Lonchura striata: one gene and its partner. The protein of the gene in region 2 purifies or fractionates together with the protein of the main gene of each other region. This does not show direct contact. Links are inferred from orthologs where the notes say so. Each region holds a gene or a part of one and is shown on either strand. Other genes may lie near its edges.

Region 1 (3,747 bases), about 2.5 Mb from region 2:
TGTCTCCTGAGGGATCCCTGTTCGCTGTCCCCGTGCCCCCCGTGTCCTCTCAGGGGTCCCTGTTCGCTGTGCCCATGTCCCCTCAGGGGTCCCTGTTCGCTGTGCCCATGTCCTCTCAGGGGTTCCTGTTCGCTGCCCCCATGTCCCCTCAGGGGTCCCTGTTCGCTGTCCCCATGTCCTCTCAGGGGTTCCTGTTCGCTGCCCCCATGTCCCCTCAGGGGTCCCTGTTCGCTGCCCCCATGTCCCCTCAGGGGTCCCTGTTCGCTGTCTCCGTGCCCCCCGTGGGGTCCCTGTTGGCTGCCCCCATATCCCCTCACCAGCCTCTGTTTCCCCCTCTCCCCCGCGTCCCCCTCTTCCCCCCTCACGGCGCCCCAGCCCCGCCCCGCTCCCCCACCGCGCACGCGCGCGCTCCCGCCGCCGCCCGCCCTCCCCCGCGCAGGCGCAGTGCGCGCCCCCGGCGGTGCGGGCGGGCGGGGGCCGGGGCGCGGCGCGCGCACGTCACGGCGTCGGGCGCGTCCCAGGGAGCCGCGCGCGGCGCCGGCCCTGCCCCCAGCGCGCCCCGCGTTCGGCCCGAGCGGAGCGGAGCGGAGCGCTGGGCTCGCCCGCTCCCCCCGGCCCCCCGCGCCGCCCCCGCCCGGCGGGGAGCGAACATGCTCCTCCGGCTCCCCGAGGCCGCCGCCGCCGGCGAGTGAGGAGCCGCCGCCGCCGCCGCCCCGGCCCGGCCCGGCCCCGCCGCCCGCCAGCCCCGGCCGCAGCCGCAGCCGCCCCGCTTCGCCCAGGCAATGACAGCGGCTCCGGCCCCGTCCCCGCAGCAGATCAGGGACCGGCTGCTGCAGGCCATCGACCCGCAGAGCAACGTGAGTACGGGCCCCGCGGGCCCCCGCCGCTCCGGGCCGACCCCCGCCCGGCGCTCCCGCCGCGACGCCCTTCTCCCCCTCCCGGGGCCTCCGGGGCTCCCTCCGGGGCCGCCCCGGCTGCACCGGAGCCTCCGCTGCCGGCGGCGGCGCGGGGCTCCCGGCGCGCCGTCCGCCCGGGGTCCCGCAGCCGGCGGCGCCTCCCGCCCGCGCCCCCCGGGCCGGCAGCGCAGGGCCGCCCCGCTGGGGGCTCCGGGGGCCGCTCCCCGCCCGCCCGGCGCCGCGGCCGCCCCCGCCCCGCCGCCGCTCGGCGCCCCGGGCCCGGCCGGTGCTGCCCGGCCATGCGGCGGGCGGCCCGGCCGCCTCCCCACGCCAGGCCGCGGCTCGGGCGCGGCCTGCAGGGGGCTCTGGGCCGGCCCCGCCGCCGCTCGCCGGGACCTTCCGGGGCGCCCACCTGTTCCTCGGGCCCTGCGGCCGCTCCGGCCGCGGCCGGCGGCACCCCGGGCTGCGGGGACGCCAGGAGGGCTCCGGCCGTGGCTGCGGGGCTCTGGAGCTGCTCCAGCACCGAGCAGCCTCGGTCTTCGCTTTTATCCCTTCCTGCAGCGCCGTAATGAGCTTATGTGCTCCTTGGGATGTGGTGTAAGCACAGAAGTCAGCGTGTATTTTACCTGTAAGTGGCCTTAAGTGGCGGTTATCCAAAGGATCATTTGCTCCTTTTAAGGGTTTTTTGGCTCATCCAAGCAGTTCTCCGCTTAGGTGTTTATTACTGTGAGAGGACTGCAGGGCCCTCAATCTGTCCAATTTTTGAATCTTAGATCAACACTCACCTCCACAGGATGCCAAGGTGGGTCTGGCTTGGCCATCTGCAGTTTGTGGGAGCAGCCTCTGGCTCATCAGGCTGAATGTGTGCGTGTTATTTTAGGGGCTGGGGTGTGTGAAATGGTGCTTTGGTTCTATTAAAGTCGTACCTGCTCCTGTCTGAACAAGTACTTTTTTTGTGATAGACATGCATCAAAGTCCTAAAGTAGCTAATAAAGTTATTGTCATTTGGAACCCTCCCGGAGCCTGTGTCATGGGGACTGAAGAAAAACCACTCCGGCCTTGTCGGTTCTGTAGAGCCCCCTGGGCTGGGCATCTGTGGGGAGCTGCAGTGTTGCACATTGGAGTAACAGTAACAATCGTGGCGGTAATTGTGGGCTGTTAAATGTCAGGGTTGTCTGAGTTTGCAGTACTTTAACGTGGATCTTGCTGAAATGTCAGTTAGTACACTTCATGAATCCTGTGTGCACTGAGCTCTCTGTGGCTGCAGATTGTTCACTCTACGTGAGACTGAGTGTCAACCTACTTTAATAAAATTCTAGCAGATCTGTGGTGTCTTTTGACTTCAGAACTGTCAGCTGCAGTGGTTACCCTAATTCTGGTGTTACTTTGTCAGACACTGTGGCTGTGCAGAACTAAACAGCCAGAAAGTCAATTTGGTGTTGGATACTCTTCCCTTTCTCCACATGCTGATGTTTCAGGATGCTGTTGTGAGAGGACTCCAAATAACCAGGCAGCTCCCTGCAAGGGGAGGCCAGAGCTCCCAACAGGTCAGTAGCCCCTTAAGTTTAGGAGTGATGTATGTTAAATTTTAATTCTACATACTTGATACTTATCCAGGGCAATAATTGGTGGCAGAAAAATCAGCCTATTGTTCCAAAGTGCCTGTAGGCAGGGTCTGTCTTCCAGTTTAACCTTTTCTTGGAGGAGAGCAGAGGTGGTGTAGCTGAGGTTCATTGTGCAGGCTGAGAACTCAGACTCGTGGCTCCAAAGCACATGGAATATGTGGCGGTGTTGGTTGTTCACTACCTGGCACATCACTGGCACAGAGGGAAGAAAAACTTACATTTTGAACACACTTAAAAAACAGATTTTGAGTTTAATCACACTTGGACACCATGGTGAAAGTACAAGAAGCTGCTCTGCTGTTTTCCTGCTGGGAGAGTCAGTGCAGCAATGAGCTTCTGTGCCTGCAGGGACTCATGGAAAGCTCCAGCTACTTTCTGCTGGCTCTTAGAATCTTCTCCTGACAGAACTACTTGTATTCAAACCTACAGCATACATTGTTGTCACTGACTTCCTCATTTACCAAGAAGGTCAAGCTTTGAGGCCTAGATTTAATTCAGACTTTTCAGTGTGTGTGTTTCTGGAGAGGCTGAAAGCTGCACCAGTAGTGTCAGGTGGACAAAACCAGTCCAGTTCTATGGGGCTGAGGAGGGAGGAGATGGTTGGTTCTTCATGGTGCTTTACTGTAGGATCTGTAAATTTAAGCTTCACTTAAATTCCCTGACACATCCCCTAACACAATCTGCCATTGTGGATATTTATTCTTGAGTGGTTACTTGGATCATGGTTGACTCACAGGTCATGCCTTAAATGGGGGGAAAAAAAAAGGACATAAGTTTCTCTACCTCTGTTGGGTTGAACTGGTCAAAATAATTGTTTCCCCAAGCTTGCAGAACCTGCTGGCCTCGGGAAATCATCTCGTGTGCTGATTGTTCATCTCCAGCTGCTCCATAAAGCCCTGCTGACTCGGGAGCAATATTGAATTTACACATGTTTAGCACTTGAACCTCCTCTAGTAATTGCTGCAGAATATATTTATAACTTAGTTTCTCACATTTAGAGGTTACCTGTGTAAATTCTGAACTATTTCAAAGGAGACCTATAAGAAATAAGCTATTTTTAAAGGAACTTACATCATCCTAGAAGCCACCCGGGATGTCTGGTATTGTGTCTTCATTTATTCAGCCTTTTCTCCTCCAGGAAACATATGGGCAAACCACTTCTGCTCCATGACCTAAGCACTGAGTACCAGCATCACTTTCCTTCCAAGGCTTCTGTGAGAACATAG
Region 2 (3,747 bases):
GGGACAGGGCAGGAGATCAGGGAAGGAATGAGGATGAGTCTGAACTGCAGCTTCCAAACTGCCCAGGGCAGCTCCTAAAGGCTCTGCAGAGCCCAGCCACGATGCAGAATCCTGGCAGGAAGAGATTCCAAACGCAATGAAAATGATGGGAACTTGCAGAGTCTCGAGGCTTTGCCACAGGGAGAGGCTGAGCAACGCTGCGGCACTGAGGGTACAAACCTTTATTTCAAACAAAAGCCCATAAAACAGGGAAGGAAAAGCCCTTCCCACTCATTTCCTCCCATGGCTGAGTCCTGGATGGGACTGAAGGGTCACCACGAAGTCCAAGATGTGGAATGAGGCCCAGTGACGGGGCTGCAGAGAGGGAAGAGGATTTGATTTCCTTGGCATTCCCTAAATTCAGGAATCTCCGAGCGTCCATGAACTGCTGCTGGGAGCCACCCAGCTCCTCACACCTGGAAGAGAAGGAGGGATGGGAATCACCTCCTGCCCCAGGTCCCTCTGAACACCCCAAATCCCAACGGGCACAGCCTGAGCAGAGGCACAGGTGGCAGGGGAGCCTTGCCCTGCTCTCCCCAACAGCTCCCTCCGTGAGCCATTTAAAACTCTGAGACATTTCCCTGGAAGCAGCTGCTTCACACTGACCTTGGAACAATCCCTGGCACTGCCCAAAGCCCCCCTGAGCTGAGGGTCCCCTCATCCTTACCCACTGTGTCACTGCACCAGTCTGTAGGTGATGTACCTGCCCGCCGTCTCGCTGGGCCTGATGATCTTCACTACCTGCAAGGCAGACACGGAGCTCACAACAGGAGGAGGAGGAGAAGGAGACACTTGTTCTGCTCCAAAATGCCCTCCAGGATCATCCCCTCCCTGTCCCACCACAGGAAGCTGCTGCCTCAGCCTGCTCCTCTCACCTGGCCACGCTTTATCCCGAAGTACCGGGCCACGGGGTCCCCAGCCTGGATCCTGGGCAGCTGGTTCTCCCTCAGCTTGCTGTGCTGGGAGTCAAGGAGAAGCTCTGGACTGCTGGCAGCTCACAAACCAGAAATGAACCGTGGCAGGAGGAGGGGTTTTCAGCCCGAATTTCATCACAGGATGGAGGGACAGCAAGGGGACACTCAAAGGATACTATCGGGCCAGCAGCTCCGTTACCTCCTCCTTTGTCATAACCACGTGCTCTGGCACCAGCTGCAAACACCAGAGAGACTGAGTGAGGTGAGGCAGCAAGTGTTTGGGAGGGGGAAAAGGACAAGTGTGTCCCTCAGCCCAGCCAGGGAGCAGGAGGAGGAGTCTGGGAGCAGCAGGAACGCAGCCAGCACGAGGGAGGGACCATCCTCCCACCGCTCACCTCGTGCTCCGTGATGTTGATGAGAAGCTCCTGCTGCAGGAACTGCTCCAGGATGTATTTGGGAGCCATGTCAACCAGGGACTGGAAGGAAAAAGCCCTTTTAGAGGTGGCTGGGGCAGCCCTGGCAGTAAAAAGACTTTTCAGAGGTGGCTCTGGCAGTGCTCAGAGCTGCTCCTGGGTAAGCCCCTGAGCTCCTGGAACAGGGAAACATCTCTTTTTCCCTCCCCCACCTCCTGACTGCCCGTGGGCCCTCAGCTGTGCCACTGCCACCAGGACCAGCTGCTCTGGATAAACACAGTTGGGTGCTAAAAAAGAACCTGTGCTCAGTACAACGGGTTCCAGCAAAAGCTTTTCTCTGGAGGCCAATTCAGGGCTTTCATTTACCCGCAGCAAGGCTAAGGAACAGACAAGGAAAACCTTCCCAGCTGCTGAGTGGGACACGGTGCTGTCCCCACAGACCTGCTTGGCCGAGGGGGTCATTCCCTGCTGCACCACGATCAGTGCCCGGGTGATGTTCTCCTCCTGCATGCGCTGGCAGTACATCTTGATGGTCTTGATGCCCACCTTGGGCTCCTCTGAGGAAAGAGCCAGAGCCGGGGTCACCAAGAGTCCGCGGCAGGAGGGCTCAGCCAGACCCGGGTCACCCCTGTGCTCCGAATCTCCCCTGAGGGCTCAGCCAGACCCGGGTCACCCCTGTGCTCCGAATCTCCCCTGGGGGCTCAGCCAGACCCGGGTCACCCCTGTGCTCTGAATGTCCCCTGAGGGCTCAGCCAGACCCGGGTCACCCCTGTGCTCTGAATCTCCCCTGCGGGCTCAGCCAGGCCCGGGCTCACCGGACCCGCCCGGGCGGGCGCTGCTCACCGGGGAAGAACACGAACATCTGGTCGGTGGGATCATCGTTGTGAGCCACCAGCACGGTCAGGTCGGTGCGACGGGGACGTCCCTCGCTGGGTTTGTCGCCGAACTGCGCCTTGAACTCCTCCAGCGTCTGATCCAGCTCGTCCTGGGTCACCAGGTACCCGCGGTCGTGGCAGAGCTGCGGGAGCAGCGCCGGCCTCAGCAACCGAGAACCGGCACTGCGAACCGGCCTCCGCGTCCCACACCTCCACCCTGCGGCCCCAGAGCGCCGCCGGAACTCCCCACCGCCAGGCTGGGCCCTCCCGGCGCCGCCGTTCCCGGACCTGCATGATGGTCTTGCGGATCTTCCACAGCCGGTACGTCTCCTCCTCGTCGTCCATCTTGCCCGCCGAGGCCCCCGCGGGCTGCCCGCGCTGCCGCCTACCCCCGCGCGCGCGGGGGGCCTCAGCCGCGGCGCCTCCTGGGAGATGTAGTCCACCGCCAGCTGCCCCCCTCCGCTGGCTCCGGAGGGAACAGAAATCTCTCTGCTGCTCTCAGCGTGGGTCTCTGGGTGGCTGCGGCTCTGTTCGGAACCCGCGGCCGGGTCGGGAGGGAATCGCCGCCCGGCAGCCGCGGCACCTGCTCCACACCCCGCCCTTTGCTCCGTCCTTGCCCCCCGCCCTCGTGGTCTGTCCCGATCAACACCCCTGCGGCCACCCCGCCCGCCCTGCCCTCCTATTGGTCAGCTTTCCATCCATCATCCCGCCGAGGCCGCCTCTATGCGTGCCGATTGGCTGATATGCCCGAAAGGGGCGGGGTTTGTGAGGGATGGGCTGGGCCAGCGCGGTGCGGGGCGTGCTGTGCTGCGCGCGGGCGGCGGCGGCGGCGGGAGCGGCGCTGGGACCAGGGCTGGGACCGGGACCGGTGCGGAGCATGGTGAGTGCGGGGGCCCGGGGGAGCGGCCGGGCCCGGGGGAGCGGCCGGGCCCGGGTACCGAGGCTCTGCCCGCCCGGGGAGCGGGGCTGGTCCGCCCGGGGACCGCGGCTGGCCCCGGGTCTCTCCCGCGGGCCGCCCGGGCGGGCGGCGGGGGCTCGGCCCGTTCCGGGACCGCGGCTCGGCTCCGAGGGTCCCCCGGGGGCAGCGGCGGTGGCGGGGCCGGCGCGGAGCTCCGCAGTGACGCGCCCGCCCCGCAGTGTGCCCAGGCGGATGACTGGCGCTCGGCCAAGGCTATCTACGACTTTCACGCCCTCGACATCGACGGCAACGACGTGTCCTTGGAAAAATATCGGTAGGACGGAGGGGCCGGGGCCGCGCCGGGCGAGGTTGAGCCACAGCGGCTCTTGCGTAACCCGCACGCCTCTCCTGAGAGGGTGAGGGACCTGTGCCCTGCGGGGAAGGGCAGCTCATCCCCCTCCTCTGCAGGGGAGACGTGTGTATCATCACCAACGTAGCCTCCAAGTGAGGCAAAACCGCCGTAAACTACACTCAGCTTGTCGACTTGCACGCCCGATACGCTGAGAGGGGTTTACGCATCCTGGGCTTTCCTTGCAACCAGTTTGGGA

The links.
Region 1: the proteins of POLR2E (region 2) and MED26 purify together in Homo sapiens (affinity purification with mass spectrometry; 3 studies listed by BioGRID and IntAct, with this or other methods). This does not show direct contact. The link is inferred for Lonchura striata from reciprocal best matches to the Homo sapiens genes POLR2E and MED26.

Annotation. Positions count from the first base shown.
Region 1 is NC_134630.1:3,983,019-3,986,765, forward strand, and holds the start of MED26 (mediator of RNA polymerase II transcription subunit 26), read left to right. Parts: upstream 1-745; 5' UTR 746-782; coding exon 783-857; intron 858-3,747. UniProt on the Homo sapiens protein: Component of the Mediator complex, a coactivator involved in the regulated transcription of nearly all RNA polymerase II-dependent genes.
Region 2 is NC_134630.1:6,513,704-6,517,450, reverse strand, and holds POLR2E (DNA-directed RNA polymerases I, II, and III subunit RPABC1), read right to left. Parts: upstream 2,657-3,747; 5' UTR 2,587-2,656; coding exon 2,530-2,586; intron 2,385-2,529; coding exon 2,210-2,384; intron 1,924-2,209; coding exon 1,808-1,923; intron 1,430-1,807; coding exon 1,349-1,429; intron 1,189-1,348; coding exon 1,130-1,188; intron 994-1,129; coding exon 915-993; intron 781-914; coding exon 715-780; 3' UTR 707-714; intron 456-706; exon of another isoform or gene 355-455; 3' UTR 207-354; downstream 1-206. UniProt on the Homo sapiens protein: DNA-dependent RNA polymerase catalyzes the transcription of DNA into RNA using the four ribonucleoside triphosphates as substrates.